4 linked regions of the Drosophila melanogaster genome follow. The protein of the gene in region 1 interacts with the protein of each later gene in a pairwise test. Each region holds a gene or a part of one and is shown in the gene's direction. Other genes may lie near its edges. The genes, in order: SdhD, CG17826, Tapdelta and CG31775.

Region 1 (4,853 bases):
GCTCAGGTCAGTGATTCGATTCCCAAGCCACACCCAAGGCTCCAAGTGAATCATGTGAATTGGCCACCCGAAACTAAAGCCCATCCATTTTACAGCCCTCGGTCAGTACAACCTGGTGCAGAAGGACAACTGCATCATTCCAAAGATCCTGCAGGGATCGTGGTTCTCGTGGGAAACGGGCCTGCCCACGCTGACGGTGATCGACGCCACCTCGATGTCCAGCCGAGGCTACTGCATCAACTACATGCGCCACAAGGGCGACGAGTACTCATTTGTCTTCAAGGAGCGATCCAAGGACTGCTATCACTGTGTCAGGACCATCATCCGCACCCTTAATGTGTTCGAAAAGTTTGAGGGGCCCTGCGTGGGCATACCCGCTGGACAGGAACCCACCGTGGACTATGTGTGTCGTGGTGTTAAGGATGACCAGCAGTTGATAACGCTCTTTAACGAGAACTTTGTGCCCATCAACTGCCGATCGTCGCTGGAGGGAGTGTGGCATTTTACGTACCAGGTAAGATCAAAATAGATTCATAGATCACATAATTTGCACATGGTGCGGTTTAGTTAAGGGTCTAGAAACATATCCATTTTATGTTGATTAGTGATCTTGATTTGAACTTTTATTATAGAACCGATTCCGATTCACGGGCGTATGCGATAAGCCCGACGCTCGCATTCAGTCCTGTCAAACGGCAGGAACGCAGTTCCTCATCCAGAACCAGAAGTTCAACGTCACCTATCAGCAGTGCGAGGGTATGGAGGGCACATTCACCGGCACCGTGGAGTTCAGCTGCCTGGGCGATTGGTTTGTGGGCAAGAACCACTACTTTGCCGTGGCCAACACAAAGGAGTCGCGTAAGGATGAGAAGTACCGCTGCTTCCTTAAGAATCGTGACGATGATCTTTACGTGGGCGTTTCCATTACGGCCGAATGTAACACACTGAAGACGCCAGAAACGTCACCGGAGCGTCTAAAGCTGACGCCAGTGAAGGCTGAGTTTGTGGAACCCGGTTGCACGCTACCACAAAACTTTAGCGGAGAATGGGTGAACACTGCCAACATTGATGCCGATGTCTCGATCAGTGAGACCCACATAAACGAGACGTACTATCCGGATAAAGCTCGATACCGAAAGACAATCTATGTTTGCCGAGAGCGACGGGGTAATCGTGTGATGATGGCTCGCCTCACTGTCGACGGTTGCCAGAAGGATTACGTGTGCTTTGACTTTATGCCCCGCCACCACAACATCATTCGCTACCGCAAGGGTTTGGCTGTGATCAAGGACGATTTTAGTACAGTCTGCTCTTGGGTTCAGTTCCCCAATTCGGAGGCATGGAAATATGATCTGTTTCTTGCTCGAAATCCTGTGCCTGTTCGTTGCCCCGTTGCGGGAAAATTCAACTTTACGCAGCGAGGAGAGCATCCCTTCAGAACGAGGTTTGTAATGTTTTGCAATCGTAGCATGAAACGTATAATTAATGTGTATATTTCACAGAATTCTTGGTGGTGTCACTCTGAGTCCGCGTCCCGATATCCATTGCAAGCAAAACATCTCGGATTTATCGGTTTGCGATACAGATCAAAAGGAATTGGCGGTGGATGAAAACTATTGCCTGTCGGTGGATCACTTGGGTCGTCCCGTTGATATCTACAGTGATCCCGATTACCGCATGAAGTGCATTGGCTTCTGGAAGGAGAACCTCAAGTCCTACCTGATTACGTACGACGATTTGGATCCGCTGTCCAAGTATCGCTGCTGGGTCTATCAGCGTGCCGACCTCAACCGTGTCCTCATGTCGCAGGCTGTGGGCGCATTCTGCAAACTGGAGCAAGATGTGACCTCGTGGAACCACTCGGAGGGCGCTGCCGTAGCCATCGATGCCGTGGAGTACGAAAGGGAGCGTGACGACTGTCCCATGCACTTCGATGACGGATTGAATCCTTGGAAGCCGTCGGATGCCTCCAACATCATATTTGATTGGGACTTTTACCGAGCAGGAGCAGCGACACTAAAATTTCAACTGACTGGCCTCGTTATCGTGGTCTTAGTCCAGGTTAGGAGTTTATTAGCTTAATAATATCAAAAGTATTTTTTAACTATTCCATCCAACGAAATTTACAAAAATTTTACAACCAACATAAAGTCACTTTTAGGAGCAATTGCGTGCCTTAGAATGCGAATTTTAGAAAGTTTTAAGCAAATTTTAAACTTAGTTTGTAAGATCATCACAATTTTTACGTGTAACAGCCATTCCGTCCCAAACGAATCTCAAATGTATTGTGCAAATAATTAAAGCAGTTAAATAAATGCCTTGAACTAAATGTTTTCTTATTATTTATTACACCCTTTAATTGTTTGTTGAGTTCAAAATATTTTACTGGGCTTCCCTTATTATTGTGGGACAATATCTTGACCGCTACTGTTTACCGATAACAAATCGATGACAGCTGACTGCACTAGCCCAGTGCTGTGTAATTTTTTAGACAAATCGGCCCAAACCGAACGGAGCGATAGAGTTTTTATTTTGAGCTGAAAATTCTCAATATTTACACATCCCAACATGTCCCTCTCGTTGCTTCTGCGTGGCGCTGTCCGTTGCAATGGTAAGGACCCACTGGATGGCAAATCGCCTTGTTATTGGACGCAAAACAGCTTTCATTATATAACCAAACCGTTTGTTGGTATCCCAATTAGCCGCAAATCTTGTTAAGTCGGCTCGCATCACTCCCCTGAAGAGCTACTCCACCCTGGTGGCCAATGTCCAGCGGAAGGCGGTGGTCCAGCCCCTGGCCGTGGCCAAGATTGTAGCGGTAAGTGTTTAGAGTTGAAAAATTCAGTGGTGGCTAATCATACTAAATGGTAATCCTCGACTGCTTATGCAGCCCGTCGTGCGCGAGATCTCCGTGAGTGCGCCCCGCATGGCTTCCGCTGGATCCAGCCACACCCTGCTCTGGACTGTGGAGCGAATTGTGTCCGCCGGCCTACTGGCCGTCATTCCAGCTGCCTTCATAGCTCCATCCCAGGTATTGGACGCCCTCATGGCCATCTCTGTCGTCATCCACACCCATTGGTAAGATATCCTTGAGGAAAATTAAACCTTTACTTATATTTTCCTCATTCACCAAACGCAGGGGCGTGGAGGCCATGGTAGTTGACTACATGCGGCCATCTGTCGTTGGAAACGTCCTGCCCAAGGTAGCCCACATTGCGCTGATCATCATCTCGGTGGCCACGCTGGGCGGCCTCTTCTACTTCATCCAAAATGATGTGGGTCTGGCCAATGGTATCAAGCGCTTCTGGGCCATCAAGGGCAAGGATGCCGAGAAGGCTTAAATGTCAAAGGAGCAATCAGTTGATGAACCACGAAACACCAGTTATTTATTCATAGTTTCGCGATAAGCATTAAATAAAGAATTGTAAAAAGTCACAGCTGCACAGAGCGGGTTTTGTAGAAAATTGTATATTCAACAAGAAAATCAGCACTAAAGTAGTTGGGTAACAGGCACCACCTTTGTTACGTATGGTAATCTACTGTAAACAATAAATTTGGGCTATTGTCCAGGTTTGGTCATGATTTCGTCTCCACATTGTTTGTGTAGAATAACCGGAGGGCATCCCATTGTTTGGTGTGCAGCAGAATGTGCGGTCGGCACTTACGCATGTGGTCAACCGCCTGATCCGGAGTCCATCCGTTCTTCTGCAAAGGATAAGTTGTGAGCTTTTTTTTAAGAGCTACGTGCAAATAGATAACCAACCCACCATCATGAGGTAGCATCCCACCAAAGTGGCACTTCGCGTCCTACCAGCCTTGCAGTGCACATAGACAGAACCCACGTTCTCCGGCTGGTAGGAGGAACTTAGGCCACCAATTCTTTGCTTTAGAGGCAGGAACTTGTTTATGAATTCCACGCCGCGGAAGAGCTTTTCTTGATTGGGCGACTCAAAGATGTCGGTGGTGGCCAGCTGCAGGAACTCAATGCCAAGCTTTCGCCACTTCTCCGTGTTGTTGGAGAAGGCGGTCAGCTCATAGTCCTCGTTCATCGACACCACCGCCTTCATGTTCTCCTTTTCAATGAGCTGAGCGGTTAAACAAGGATTTAGAAGGATTTCAGGCTTGGTTCCGTGGGGATACTTACGTCATTGGCCTGGCTGCGAAAGGGCAGTGCTCCCAGTATCACATGCTCATCGATGCGATCGTACCAATTCCTGGCCGATGCCTTTTCCATCAGGACATTGTACAGCAGGGTGGGGTAGAAGGAAACGCGTGCGAACATGGCAGCCTGAAATAACAGGTGTCGACTGGAGGATTAGGAATCGGGGCACAGGTGGCGGTTACTAGGTAGCGAACGTAGCGAACGCAACAGCTGTAACTTTCACCAGCACTAACGGCTGAGCTCGAAGAGTGATTCGCTGTGCGACTCACTCGGTTGAAGCGCGGGTTGGAACTGGTTTCGGTTTTCAATTTGGTTTTGGGCTGTGACTTTTGGGTCTGGGTGTCTGGCACGCAGGTCGCAGCTTCTACTTACACTCATCTCCATGCCGGCTGCTCAGTGGCTGACTTGGATTGGACGAGACAAAAGTTGGTGATTCACACGGGCGGAAATCTTCCTCGTATTCTAATTATTCCCGCTCGTAATTATCACTTTCGATTGCGCGTCAACAGTTCCAATTCAGATTTCCTTCTGGTTAAACTCTGCGCGTTCCTTTGCATAACGAAACAACAGCCGGAAAATCCAGGGGCGTAGCTAGCAAGCCCTGGGAATTTTTCGGGGTAAGACATTCTAGACGTTAACTATCGCAGTTGCCCGGGAAATAATTGTTGAGCATAATTTCCACATTTTGGTG
Region 2 (5,931 bases), on another chromosome or scaffold:
CGTATGGTGATTGGTATTATCAGAAGATTGACTACTGATTTGGCGCACTCATGGCAGTTAAATGGTGCTACACGGCCTGGTTTGCCACTTAGTCGTTCGCGAAATTCGGACTACTTTAAAGGTGATCTCGGAAGAATGCGACCAATCGATTTTGGGGGTAAGCTGGTGAAGAGTTGGCTACCCAAGGCTAGTAACTTATTTCGGGTCCGTATCCTAGGTCTCTGGACCGTTCTGCTGCTTATCGGAGGTCTTCAAACTGTGGTAGCCCAGTTGACGAATGTGTGCCAAAATCAGGAAGATGGCACTAGACTTCCGTTGGCCACCCACTGTTCCCGATTTGTCGTTTGTCTGAAGGGAGAGGTTTCCATTATCGGTAGCTGCCCTCGTGGACTCCATTTCAATCGGGAGCTGAGGGAGTGCGACTTCCAGTGGCGAGCTAATTGCTTGGGACTCTCGGCCTTTGCCGAAGTGGATGATCAGTGTACCTGCGATTGCTGTGCTGAGGAGTGCCAGGATCCCATTGACGATATCGATGAAACTACCACGGCGGTCACCGAGGACTGCGATCCGGATACCACCACTTCAGCCACGGAACCCTCCGATTCCACGGAGCCGACGGATGCTACAACGGATTTCGATGACCCCAACAACTCCTCCAACACCACGCCTTCGAGTCCAAGTGTGGTGCCCTCGTATTGCAAAAGTTCCCGCACGGATTGCGTTAATCAGAAAACTGGCACCTATATAGATATGCCCGGGATCTGCGTGAGGTTCATCCAATGCAACAATGGTTGTGCCGAGGAATTCCAGTGTCCCTCCGGTCTGTACTTCAACACGGCGATAGACGATTGCGATTACTGGTGGAATGTGGACTGTACCCCCACCGCCGATGGCTCCACTGAGATCGAGGGACCATCGGGCACCACCTGCTCCAGTCAGGGCGAATGCGCTGGTAAGAGGGATGGCTACATGATTGCGGACCCCAATTCGAATGGATTCTTCGTCTGCCAATGCCAGTGCCCCATTGCGATGCCCTGTTCCGAGGGTCTGAAGTTCAACGAGACGGCCCAAGTGTGTGATTGGATTAAGGACACTAAATCCGCAATTGGTTCCTCGGCGGTTCAATGTTACGGTGACCTCGTCTACAACGCCACCTTAGACCAGTGCGACTATCCTGAAAACTATGTGCCCAAGGTGGAGTGCAATACCACCAGCACCGTGTGCCAAAACCAGCCGGAGGGAGAACTCTTTCCGGTGGAAGGCAAGTGCAACATGTTCTACAAGTGTAACTTCAACTGCGCCGTCGAGCAATATTGTCCGAACAACTTGGTCTACAACCCAAATACCGAAGAATGTGAATACCCCCAGGACTATGTTTGCCCGTGGGAGTATACCCCACCCTCTGGTCCCAATGCAGGACCTTCGGGAATCGCCTGCGAGAGTAATGGCCGTTGCATGGGACAACGTGAGGGTACCTACTTAAAGTCCACCACAAATTGTAGCAATTACGTCGTCTGCCAGTGTGAATGCGAGGTCGAGATGGAGTGCGCCGATGGCTTGTATTGGGACGAAAGCTTGCAGACCTGCAATTATAAGAACCAAGTGACCTGCACTCTTTAAATGACCGATTGGCAAATAAAGAAAGTGATTATCAAAGCAACTACTACTACTAGGATGTAGCCTAATCTGCCCATTTATTAATGAAACATTGGATCAGTAAATCATTTTAATCAGTTTTGTGGCGGGAATATGCCAACAGGTGTCGGCACTCAATGAGATTGGCAAGAGCTTATCGAACATAAATACCCATTTTTTTTTTTTTAATAAAGAAGGGGTATGTTTCCTGTAGGAATTTGTAGCTGGTCCAACCACTGCTATCACAATATAAAGCTTCAAAATAGTTAGTTCACATAGGTAAGTACCTATCAGTAGTTGTTCTTCTTTATACATATATGCACTATGGCGCATTGAAATTTCAATTTCAATCGATCGTTAAGACTTCTCATATATGAGCATCTTATAGCAACTGAAGAATAATTTCTTTTGGACTCTTTGATTTCGCGGATTCACAATGAACCGCTGAGTTTTATAAATAGTGACAATATCGATTGCTTGTATTACTACTGTATATATATGCTGATAGTATCACGGATGTTTCGACATTATCACCGCCACATGCTCTGATGCAGGAAGAGACATTCAATTATTTTAATTGCCGGTAAATATAAAAGGCGATATCTTCGAGCGAAGATTCATCAGTGAGCATTCGATACGCAGAGTGCAAAGATGGCCCAATCCAGAACTAAACACTATGGTAAGGACGGAGCAATGATAATTGGGAGGATGATTGTTGATCCGCGGTTTTTACCCAGGAGTGGCCCTGTGCCTAATAATTTCCCTCTTTATGGGATCGTCAAGTGCTGTGTGCTGCTCGGAGGGCGACACAAAAGTGGATGCGGATGATTGTACCAAGTATCTGATCTGCTGTCACGGCGAATTTGTATCCAAGTCGTGTGCAAGCGGATCCTATTGGAATTCGGAGTTAAATATCTGTGTCGTGGATGATGGTCAATGCAGACCTCCAACCTGTGTGGATGGAGAAATTACACCGAATCCAGATGACTGTGCCGGCTATTTAGAGTGCGTGGACGGAATCATAGTGATCCTGACCTGTCCAGATGGCGATTACTTCAATTCGACCCTAAATCGGTGCGTTGAAGATACCTGCGGCGTGTGCAACGGAAATGGAACGACATGCACTGATGGCGAACTTAAGGTGGACCCCACCAATTGCGCAGGCTACTTGGCTTGCTCGAACGGTAACTGGGTGAGCAAGCAGTGCGCTGACGGAGCTTACTTCAATGCCATACTGGAGACTTGTGTACAAGACGACGAGGGAATATGCGTCAATTGTAAAGAGGGATCTACAAAACCCTTGGCCGACTGTACCATGTATGAGATCTGTTCCGGTGGCAAGTATGTGACCAAGTCCTGCGACAGTGGTTACTACTGGAACAGCCAATCAGAGGTCTGCGATGTGGATAATGGTCAGTGCAATGGAAATGGAACGACATGCACTGATGGCGAACTTAAGGTGGACCCCACCAATTGCGCAGGCTACTTGGCTTGCTCGAACGGTAACTGGGTGAGCAAGCAGTGCGCCGACGGAGCTTACTTCAATGTCACTCTGGAGACTTGTGTACAAGACGACGAGGGAATATGTGTCAATTGTAAAGAGGGATCTACAAAACCCTTGGCCGACTGTACCATGTATGAGATCTGTTCCGGTGGCAAGTATGTGACCAAGTCCTGCGACAGTGGTTACTACTGGAACAGCCAATCAGAGGTCTGCGATGTGGATAATGGTCAGTGCAATGGAAATGGAACGACATGCACTGATGGCGAACTTAAGGTGGACCCCACCAATTGCGCAGGCTACTTGGCTTGCTCGAACGGTAACTGGGTGAGCAAGCAGTGCGCCGACGGAGCTTACTTCAATGCCACACTGGAGACTTGTGTACAAGACGACGAGGGAATATGTGTCAATTGTAAAGAGGGATCTACAAAACCCTTGGCCGACTGTACCATGTATGAGATCTGTTCCGGTGGCAAGTATGTGACCAAGTCCTGCGACAGTGGTTACTACTGGAACAGCCAATCAGAGGTCTGCGATGTGGATAATGGTCAGTGCAATGGAAATGGAACGACATGCACTGATGGCGAACTTAAGGTGGACCCCACCAATTGCGCAGGCTACTTGGCTTGCTCGAACGGTAACTGGGTGAGCAAGCAGTGCGCCGACGGAGCTTACTTCAATGCCACACTGGAGACTTGTGTACAAGACGACGAGGGAATATGTGTCAATTGTAAAGAGGGATCTACAAAACCCTTGGCCGACTGTACCATGTATGAGATCTGTTCCGGTGGCAAGTATGTGACCAAGTCCTGCGACAGTGGTTACTACTGGAACAGCCAGTCAGAGGTCTGCGATGTGGATAATGGTCAGTGCAACGGAAATGGAACGACATGCACTGAGAATGAGGTTAAGGTGAATCCTGCGGACTGCGCCGGATACCTACAGTGCATAAACGGAGTCTTTGTGGCCAGGAAGTGCTCCGCTACGCAGTTCTTCAATACCACACTGAAGGAATGCGAGGTCGACACAGAGAATGTGTGCATTCCCAAAACCTGCGATCCCGACTGCTGCGATGTGCCCAACAATTCCATCTGGCCCGTGGAGAAAAATTGCTCCGCCTTCTACCAGTGCGTAAATGGTAACAAATATGAGCAGCGGTGCTCCAACAACCTGCAATACAATTCAATAATAGAGCAGTGCGATTATCCCGAAAATGTTCAATGCGACGATGGATCTGCACCGCCAAGTGGTCCGATTGCCGGACCCTCGGGAACTTATTGCGAGAGCCACGGACGATGCGTTGGCCAGCGGGATGGTACCATGTTCGCCGATGCCAGCGGAGATTGTAGTTCTAATTATGTAGTCTGCCAGTGCGAGTGTGAGGTGAACTTCACTTGTTCCTCTGGACTTTTGTTCAATTTGCAGGTCAAATCCTGCGATTGGCCCGATAATGTTAAGTGCTAAGTGGTTTCAATAAACAATATTTAAAGCAGAGTATTAAACGAAAAGATTTTCGTTTTTCTATAGATAAAAACTACTTATTCTAAGCAGAGAATAGAAAATATTCCCCTTATTTTTAGTACTATATGATGTGGCTATATTTTCTCTGTTTAGGCTTTGGACTATTAAAAATTATTATAATTCAAGCACTTTATTGGGGTCTTAAAAAAATATAGTTAGAATCGACGTTTTTTTGACTTGCGCACAGGTTTCTTTGACTTGGATTTGCTTTCATTTAGCTTCGTCTGGCATTTTGCAATTTTGGGATAATCGCATCGTGATGTGGCTATATTGAAATGCAGGCCAGTTGGGCAGTCCATTACCAAAAACATCATGTTGCTGCAGAGCATAAACTTGCCACAATCGCTGCGATGAGCAACAAGAGAGTTTTCCTTTTCATCTGAACACACTCCTCCCGTGGTGGCAGGACCATCTGATTCTTTATTTTCTCGGGTTCCACCCGAACACTTGGCTTCTGAGGCCTTCATGCAAATGCGACGAGTTGGACTAAAATGTTGTTTGTCAGGACAAGAGCGCAGATGGGGCTTTTTTGCTTTGCAGACATAATATTCCTGGCAGGACCCGTTCTTTGTAAGCATCACTCCATCCTTCTTGCCAGCACACATTTTGTCAAGGGTTGTAGGACGCGGCTTTTTCGTCGCTTTGACAGTAACGGGAGGATCAGTTTTGGCCATTTCCTCATCATCGTCTTCGTCGCTTTCAGAACTTGACGTGTCGTCAACAATATTATCCTTGCCATCGAAAATGCAATCCACATTGTCAGGATCATCGCAGTGCAACGTTAAAGGATTAAACAACGTATTCTTTTCACAAGTTCCGGTCACAGCGTTTCCATCAGCACACACGTAATATCCTTTACAGGATCCAAACATGGGCAAGAGTCCACCATTTTTACCCTCGCATAAGGACGTCTTGAACGCAAATCCGTTCTGTGAAAGTGAACATTCTAATTTTTCATACTTTTAAGAATGTTTTCCAACATACTTGTACAACAGCCAGAGTACTTTCTTGAAGTACTAACATTACGCAGAGCAGTCCAAATAGCTTCATTTTGTGTGATGCTATCGAGTGTTTTATCGAACTGAAACTTTCCATTCATTGAACTGCGTTTTTATAGAGTAGCATTTATAAGTAATTTGCATGATTTGCTAGTATGTTAAATGCTAGAATCTGATTGTACTGTTCATATGATAGAGTTACTCGAATATGAGTACTATCTTTATTTTCTTACTCAGAATTGATAAGAGTTCATATAAAACATATGTAACGTCTGA
Region 3 (4,585 bases), on another chromosome or scaffold:
TATGCTGGCTCAGGCTCTCCTTACAGTTCGGTTCTTTGTTCCATTTCCTGCTCACACCCACACGTCAGACAACCATCCACCGAAGCACACTGAAAGAAATTGGAGTGATCTAGGAAAAATTAAAAAAGGTAATGTCCCTTACAAATGAGCTATTATACTCGATTAGTAAATGTATCCTGTTAATAATTGGTTCGTTTTTTATATGAAAAACTTTTAAAAACTTAGGTTTATTGTAATATTTATTTTTGCGAGTTGTTGAAAAACTCCCAAAATTAAAATATTGTAGAATATAGAACGCCAAAATTTGGCTTATACACAATCGCGCCTGCTTCTATGTTTGCAATCTAAGTACCAATTTCGTTTCCGGTCAGAGTGCACTTTATTTTGCCCAATGCATCCGTCGATCCACCTGCCAACCCCGGATCAACCCACTCCTCCCCCAAAGACACGTGCAATTCCGGTGGGTCTGGCAAGTTTTCGACTGCGACTCAATGAACCCGCACGAACTTTTGTTTTCATTTGCGAATCACCCACCGAACGCCTCTTAATCGAAAGGATTACGGCATTTTTGGCAAATATGCAAATCCGGCCATGAATGAATGAATAGTAGCCAAAAAAAAGAAGCAGGAAAAAGGCTGGCAGAGTGGTGAGAAGAGGGGAGGAGGAGGAAGGAGAAATGCGTACAAGTCGCTCAATGTCAGCAAAATGTTAGATGCAAATTCAGTTGTTGCCGGTATTAGTATGAGTATGAGTATCTGTATCTGCGGATGGGCAACCGGATGGGATGGCAAGTGAAAAACTTTCACATTTGTGACAATTTCAAATTCATCAAAGACATGCAAAGTTCGGTGGAAAAGTTCCGTGCGCGGTGGCAATCAAAGGAAAGTAACGAACATAGCAAAATGGAGCCGATTCGAACGGTGGCGGCAAACACAAACACAAAATGGCATAAAACCGTAAACAAAAAAAGCAAAACCAAATCAGGCCCACTTCAAGGTCACATCCGCATACATTCGTATGCCTGTTAGCCAAAGTATTTATACGATAGTATCCGATTTTCCGATTGCCAATAAAATGTACTTAAAACAAAGCTGAAAGCCCCATTCCAGTTGGATGGGCATTAATCACTGCCACCAGTCAATACTCGGTGCTTATGGCCCGACTTTGAAGACTCCCCCAACGATTGGACAGGACTCCCGTTTCCTCTGACACTGCTGCAATTCGAAATCAATTGCAATCGAAGTGCCATAAATATTGGACTTAGTCGTAACCGATCACAGAACGGTACCATAGCAAAACTGTCAGACGAAAACTTATTTTAATTAGAAATGCAGTCGGTACGAAATTACTGTGACTGGAACGGCCTGGACTTTATCTATTGACTTTAAATTAAATAGATACTTACATACATATTTTAAATGAAGTCAGCCCAACGTAAATGTATTGCAAAAGGAATCCCCTCAAAGACGTTTTAGACAAGGAACTTTGGGTATTTGCCTAAGTACAAATTAAGCCACCAATTTGATCAAAGTTCACTTTGATGTTTTTAATATCAGCGCAATAGCGATCTAAAGCAGAATCCTCCAAAGTGATGGATTGCATTCGGTACTCGATCATAGCTGAGCAATTTTTCCTTAAAACATTACAATTTTGTATAAATATAATTTAATAAGAATTTTAGTCTTTTAATCAAAGTAAGACTACAAAAATTTAACCTGTTGGTGAAGAATTCTATTTGTCATTATATTTTTATTTATAAATTTAATTTAATTTATTAATATTTAACTTTAATATAATTGTTTTTTATTTAAAATTCGATATTTTCAAATTATATATTTGAAATTGAAATCGCTAGAAATTGAATTGATATGGGAGGAAATTAAGTCTACATATCTCAATGCCCCTATAATTAGGAAAGATTTATTTTGACAGGACTGACATCATTAGTAATAACTTTATTCCAAATAAAATGAATCCCATATTTTTATATTTTTTATGTATACGCACTTATTTTTAATACTTGTATATACAAATTTTATATGAATTTTATAACATTTACGTATACGTACTAATTGCTATCATATTCGAACGACAAACATTCCCGGAGAAATCTTAACATATAGATGTCATTAGGAAACTACAAAAAACCGCTTTCTAAAACTGTATTTTTAGATATAACAAGTAAAAAATCGGAAAAATTTACCACGGGCTACTAGCTATTTTGTAGCTATTCTCGACTGAGCGTTGCCATCCCTGGTCACGACCAGTGTGACCATCGAACTGGTACGACTTCGGCAATTTTCGTAGCTGTCAAGTGACGTGACGTATGTATGGTGCTGTCGTGGCGTTCGCTTCCAGAGAGAAAGAAAGTCGCAGGTCGCCGAGTTGGATAGCCGTAGAGTTCCGCCTATTCCATTGATTACTAAATAAAAACCACCTCATAACTTGATCAAGATGTCCCGTCAACTGTTCGCCATTTGCCTGATTGCCGCCGTTTGTGCGTCCGGCGTCTACGGTAGCTGCAAGGCCACCGTGAGCTCTTTCAGCACCCAGGATGCCACGATTCTGACCCAGCTGGCCCATGTGGGCGAGTTCACGCTGCAGTGCAGCGGAGCCGCTCCCGCCAGCCTGTTCGCCGAGTTCCCCTGCGGCAAGGTGGTGCCGGTGGCCAAGGTGGGCGACAACAAGTACCAGGTGAGCCAGTAGTAGCCCCGTCAAGTTTTGTGCAAAGGCTAATCTCTGTTCTGCACTAGGTGAGCTGGGTGGAGGATATCAAGCAGGGCAGCAGCGGCAATGTTCAGGTGCGTCTCTTCGACGAGGATGGCTATGCCAATGTGCGCAAGGCCCAGCGGGATGGCGACAAGGTTTCATCGGTGAAGTCGCTGCTCGACATTTCCGTGCCCACCAAGGGTGCCTACAAGGGTCCCTGGATCAAGGCTGAGCTTTTGGCCGCCTTCTTGGTCGGCGGATTCGCATACTTCGCCTTCACCACCAAGGGCAAGGTGCAGTCCTAAGTAGAGGATGCCTTCGTCATCGAGATTTTGAATGAAATTCATTCGCACTAAAGTCATGTACCATCAAATTGCCGGGTCCCGGAGATTTTTCCACATTTTGTACACCTAAGCATCGGATCACCCGCCGCTCCAAAATAAACTGATTGAAAGACCAACCGAAGGAACCTAGTTGAGATTAATTTAATTTTAATTTAGAGATAACTTGTACGAATACGCTTAAACCTGGCCCGTGGAGGGCGCTCCATTCATGGTCGCCTCCTCGTCGGAGGAGATGTCTATCATGCTCTCCACACGCGACGGCGACATCACATACACAAAGTGCTCCGTGGAGCCCTCGGGGCCGACTGGCGGCGGGGGTATGACCACGGAGCCGTCCTGCGGCGGCGGTGGCGGAGTATCTATGCTGCAGTACTTGAGATTCCCAGCTCCTCCTCCGCCTGAATCATCCGGCGGTGGCGCTCCACCGTTGCAATCAAAGTTCTCCAGCTCTAGCTCCAAATCACTGACGATTCGCATGCAACGCATCTTGGCGAGCGACTGGAATTTCATGGGCATAGCTCGCACCTGCCGCGCCAGACTCAAGAAGAAAAGAGTGTTTGCGTCAAGTTCTCTGTTGGCCTGTAGCACGGCAGAGACGTCCCAATCGCTCGGAAAACGCGGATCGCAAATCTTACGCGTTTTGGCGGGCGACGGCTGTTGTTGCTGTTGAATTTGTGGCATTTGCATTGACTGCTGCTGCTGCGTTTGTACGGAATTCCCTCCGGAGCAACTTAGGTTGATGGCCGTGGTTTGCGGCGAAGGTTGTACCCTTCGCACCTTGGAGGCTGGTGGCGCTGGCGGCGGCGGCGGAGGAGTGGGATTACCCATGGGTAAGCTCGGGCAGCTGCCGTTCAAACGATTGGCGTTCTGCACTTGGTTGGCCAGGTTCTGGAACAATCCCAAAGGTGCTCCAGCTGCCGCAGCCGCTGTCAGTTCCTTCTTGAAGTTGTCCGCCGCCGCAAAGAGATGCGGCTCGATGATCAGACAACCGACATTGCTGTTGGTTGCGCTGCCGGTGCTGCAACCAGGCGGCGTGATCGTAGGTGGCAGGGGAAGACCAGCAGCCACTGCCGCCGCCTTGAGCGTGGCTAGCGGGAACATCTGCTGGGCCAGTCCGCTCACGCCCAAGCCCATGGGCAGATGGTTAGCCAGAGAGGCCAGGGCATTTGCATTGGCCTTGCTGACAGCAGCAGCTGCGGCAGCGACTGAGGATGCGGGTGAGATGGGCAGGGGCAAGACTACGGCGGAATTACTGCCACTGGTGGCAGGTGGAGTCATCGAACTGAGCGGTGCCACTGCAGCACAGTTTAGACTTCCGGTTGCACTGCCGTTGCTATTGCTGTTGTGGATTTGCGGTCCCACGGACCCAGAACCTCCTCCTGTTCCGCCCAAATTGCTGCCTGGAGAGATCATATTCGGGGGCGTGGTCGCGCCCAAACTTGATGTTATGCCGGACGCCGAAGTACTGCTTAAAGCGGTAGTATAGGTATTAACCGTGTGCGTCCCCATGGATGAGCAACCAGCCGATGCAG
Region 4 (4,316 bases), on another chromosome or scaffold:
ATATAATTCTACTTTTAAAACTATTTTTCAACCTAAATGTATCAAACTTACTCAAGCTTTCTACATATTTCCTTTGCCTCTTTTAAACAAATGTTTATTTTTGGAACCTTAAGTACAGCGAAAAAAAAGTTAAATAAACATGCACTGTACTATTTTGTCCGGTGAGCACAGCTATCTACGTGACAAATAACGATAATGCAATTTGTTTTCCAAACCTATATGAAACGAGAAATAAGCCCCCATTATTGATAAGGAACTAAATCTTTTATCTAAATCTTTTGACAGTAGAAGATAACTCAAAGGATATTTTATATTTGCTCAAATCAGAATGCAGTTATCGAAAATTAAACTTCCCTTGAGCTGAAAATTTAGCTTGAATTTATAATTATACATATGTCCAAATGTAATACAGCTTCAGTGTGTGTACACATAAAATTCAAAACCCAAAAAATCCACAAAAATTGCTATTTTAGTAGGTATTGCGTTGAACACATCGGTTCTAAATGTGGCTGTTGTGCCATTAGTTACTCTTCTGTCTCTGTCTCGGTTTGAATCTCCATCTCGCTCTCTTCTTTTTAATTTTCCCGACTTGGTGCGCGGCAGTTGTAATAGAAGTTTTCCGGCTTCATGCACCTCCGCCCTTGCACCACCCCCTTTCGGCGACCATTGTGGTGGATTCAGTACACTCTTAAAAATAAGATGTTTAATAAACATATAGCAGGTGGAAGCCGAATGGAGCGATTTGCACCAAAACAAAGTAATAAAAACAAAATTTTCTTATTTTTTGCTTATTATTTCCTATCGAAATCTATATACCCCAAGCTGTGATTATTAGATTAAGCGTCTGCGATGAGGTAGCAAAATTCTAGCACTGCATTAACAGAGCTGATTTCTGATCAGGGGTTGAGGACCTTTAGCCTGATCTTTCTTCTTGTTAATTTGTTTTGCTTATTTTGGAGCTGATTAGCTATATACCGATTAAAAGCTTTTCAATTGCCACTAAAAAAAAAGTATAAGAAACGGCGAAGACTTTTTAGCGCTGCATTTAAATTCACAAGCTTAACAGTATTCTTTTAGGCTGAATTTGCTCTCAAAAAAAGTACAATTGGTTTGGAAAATTTTAAATGTTTTTGAATGTAACCAAACACAGCGAAAAAAAATACAAATAATATTTCTTTAAAAAAAAGGATGTAAAGAAATAAACTAGTCTTATTAGTTTAATAAATACAATTTTTTAAGACACATAATTTCTATGTTTTTATAGACGGTACTTGTGGAGTAATTGAGTATACCAAATTCTTTAAAAAGTCTGTGGGAGTTCGAAGAAGGCGTTGCCGAACCTTTACCTATACAGAATATATATATTCTTCACCAGCATCACCAGCGGAGTCTATCTAGCCGTATTCGTTTGGCCATCTGTCTGTAAGCCTGTCTGTATGAACTGAATGAGATTCAGACCTCTAAATAGTTCCAATTCTTTCAGAACCTGTGCCAACAACACTCTAGATTCTTCATTGATTTCATCTAGTCTTGTCTTGTAAATATCTTAGTTCTTCTATTAGCTAAGAAATGGGTATCTGATAATCGAGGAATGCGACTATAGTGGTCTAACCTGTTAAGCGCTAAAATTCAAAGACATAACATAATTATACGTATGTATAAAAAATTAATCCATGATTACAAGGATTTCATACTTAATTATCCCTCCTCATTTCGAAAGTCTAATGATAACCCAGAAAAGCAAACAAGAACATTTGTTGCCGTAACACGTTTGTGATGCGTGAAAACGGAACATAAATGATCTAAAGTAATCTCAAACAACGTCTTCTTCTAAGTCGCCCTTAGTTTTTCTTAGCAACTGTTGCGGACTTATTAGATTAGGCTCGACTTCCCAGATAAGATTGATGTTGAAGGGTTCCCCCCGTTGAGCATAGGCATTGATACAGTGCTCAAATATTAATTTCCCAGACGTCTGGAAATTTTTTTCGTATTTTTGTTGGGTTAATTGTACTTGATTTTGTCAGAACATTGATAATACTTCGGCGCGTGACGACATGATGAGATTGCAGGAGAGTATAAAAGATCGGAGGCGTCCAAAAATTTTATTCACATTAGCAAGACTAACCGAAGTATCAGCACCATGAAGTTTTTGGTACGTTTTACATATACGCTTCAAAGAAAAACCTTTAAGAACTAAGTTGATTTTAATATTGTTACAGATCCTCTTCATTGCCCTATTCGCCGCGGCCGCTGCCCTACCTCAGTTTGGATTCGGCGGTGGATTCGGTGATCAGCAGCAGCAGCAGCAAGGAGGATTTGGAGGTGGATTTGGTGATCAGCAGCAGCAGCAAGGAGGATTTGGCGGTGGATTCGGAGGTGGATTCGGTGATCAGCAGCAGCAGCAGCAAGGAGGATTTGGAGGTGGATTCGGAGGTGGATTCGGTGATCAGCAGCAGCAACAGCAACAAGGCTGGTAAAAACCAATTCATAGCACCGTCTTAACGCAGATACCTCAATAAAAATATGACACCTTTATGATAAAAAAACAATTGGAATTTTTTACTTTATCGTTCTCGAAAATTTATGAGTTTTATGAAAATAAATTTATATTTATTATTCATTTATATTTATTAAATAGTGCCCAGAAATAAATACACTTAACATAAGGGACAACGGGAAATATCTTCTCTTTCAGATGTTCAAATGGTTTTACTTAAAACATTGTAAATATAAATAAAAGCCAAAATATAAAAGCCATATTATAAATATAAGCCAAATTTTCACAAAAATTTTGTTTTTCTTTGAAATATGTAACGCAACTAAAAAGCGGATTCAACATGATTGAAAAAACAGATACAATTTCGAGTATCCTAATCAATGGCCTCCTCAGCAGCCACCCTTTTGTGCTCCTCGATCTGCACCTTGTCCAGATCGACTCCATCTTTTTTGGCTGCCCGTATCTCGCCTTCCCCCTCCGATCCGTCTAGCTGGTTGGTCTGCCAAACTCCTGTCCACGGCAGTGACATCACTGACATGACCTTGACCAGACTGCTATGGTTTTCCTGGTCTAGATCACTCTCCCCATTTCCTTCCCGTATTCGTCTGTCTCCATCCGGCAACTGCAACTCCTCGCAGCACAGCATGGAAATCAGCAAGTGCTCAACGAAGAGGGTTCGCCGCAGCCTTTGAGATTCGTCCGTATCGTGGCACTGCACTTTTTGCTGTGCAATCCACTGAAGTAGAACATATCTGTCGTCGTCGTGTTCGAATGGCCCCCCGGAACTCAAGCCTAACGCCAGGGACTCTGAATTGGCTGCCTCCTCTGGAGGATCATTGTTGCTTAGGAGCTGGGGATCGGAGCTCACACGTCCAGTTGACAGCCATACGGATATATCGAATATCCTTGAATTCGGAGTTGTTTGCAACTGCGATTGGCGGTGGTGGCGCATGTGATTACGGGTAAATATTCGGCGTAGTGGCGGTGTGTCGGGCTCTAGGTAATTGGCGTGATCGATGTGGTTGTGCAGGAGATGTTTGGAAAGGTGGCGTATGGCCACCAGTTCGGCGGCCGACAGTCCGGCGCACATGGGGCAGACCACATATTCATTGGACACCCGATGTTGAACGTAAACATGTTCGATGAACCGCTTCGCTGTGAGCGCAAGTAGGCCGCAATGTGGACAGGTGAAGCAATTGGACAGGTGGACCAGCTCTGGGATTTCGCCGTAAAGCAGCGGAACCAGATCGTCCGAGTCAGGGAACAATTGCATGGGATGATTGGCGCGATGCTCTTCCGTTTCTATCTGATGATCGTAGCATATGTCACATAGGTTATAGTTCACGCAGCGCAAACACCGGAAGCGGCTACCCTGGAAGATCGTCATTTGACAGCCGTTGCAGCAAATGTTGCGGTGACCCATCCTCGATCCTTGTGCTAACTTCGTTCTTAGCGAATATACCTAAACTCTGGTCGAAAAAACGGGCAAAAGGGTTCTAAATTTTAACAAATCGAATCTATACAATGACATGATTTTCATAGATGTAAAATATTTCGGGGCGTTTGGTAATAACATATAATTCTACTTTTAAAACTATTTTTCAACCTAAATGTATCAAACTTACTCAAGCTTTCTACATATTTCCTTTGCCTCTTTTAAACAAATGTTTATTTTTGGAACCTTAAGTACAGCGAAAAAAAAGTTAAATAAACATGCACTGTACTATTTTGTCCGGTGAGCACAGCTATCTACGTGACAAATAACGATAATGCAATTTGTTTTCCAAACCTATATGAAACGAGAAATAAGCCCCCATTA

What was found.
Region 2: the proteins of SdhD (region 1) and CG17826 interact in a two-hybrid assay, tested with the Drosophila melanogaster proteins (one large-scale study listed by BioGRID).
Region 3: the proteins of SdhD (region 1) and Tapdelta interact in a two-hybrid assay, tested with the Drosophila melanogaster proteins (one large-scale study listed by BioGRID).
Region 4: the proteins of SdhD (region 1) and CG31775 interact in a two-hybrid assay, tested with the Drosophila melanogaster proteins (one large-scale study listed by BioGRID).

Annotation. Positions count from the first base shown.
Region 1 is NT_033777.3:23,758,210-23,763,062, reverse strand, and holds SdhD (succinate dehydrogenase, subunit D), read left to right. Parts: upstream 1-2,462; 5' UTR 2,463-2,568; coding exon 2,569-2,611; intron 2,612-2,702; coding exon 2,703-2,818; intron 2,819-2,890; coding exon 2,891-3,078; intron 3,079-3,139; coding exon 3,140-3,341; 3' UTR 3,342-3,576; downstream 3,577-4,853. Other genes in the region: udt (undicht), read left to right, coding at 1-6, 96-514, 633-1,444, 1,503-2,082; PTPMT1 (protein tyrosine phosphatase, mitochondrial 1), read right to left, coding at 3,577-3,705, 3,768-4,085, 4,145-4,288, 4,535-4,546. UniProt on the Drosophila melanogaster protein: Membrane-anchoring subunit of succinate dehydrogenase (SDH) that is involved in complex II of the mitochondrial electron transport chain and is responsible for transferring electrons from succinate to ubiquinone (coenzyme Q).
Region 2 is NT_037436.4:11,947,587-11,953,517, forward strand, and holds CG17826 (uncharacterized protein), read left to right. Parts: upstream 1-2,252; 5' UTR 2,253-2,286; coding exon 2,287-2,314; intron 2,315-2,372; coding exon 2,373-4,600; 3' UTR 4,601-4,639; downstream 4,640-5,931. Other genes in the region: CG7252 (uncharacterized protein), read left to right, coding at 136-157, 218-1,620; obst-G (obstructor-G), read right to left, coding at 4,813-5,586, 5,642-5,707.
Region 3 is NT_033778.4:11,368,882-11,373,466, reverse strand, and holds Tapdelta (Translocon-associated protein delta), read left to right. Parts: upstream 1-2,131; 5' UTR 2,132-2,454; coding exon 2,455-2,694; intron 2,695-2,753; coding exon 2,754-3,014; 3' UTR 3,015-3,167; downstream 3,168-4,585. Other genes in the region: CG13204 (uncharacterized protein), read right to left, coding at 3,231-4,585.
Region 4 is NT_033779.5:14,735,555-14,739,870, reverse strand, and holds CG31775 (uncharacterized protein), read left to right. Parts: upstream 1-2,101; 5' UTR 2,102-2,140; coding exon 2,141-2,152; intron 2,153-2,219; coding exon 2,220-2,477; 3' UTR 2,478-2,781; downstream 2,782-4,316. Other genes in the region: CG31835 (uncharacterized protein), read right to left, coding at 2,871-3,920.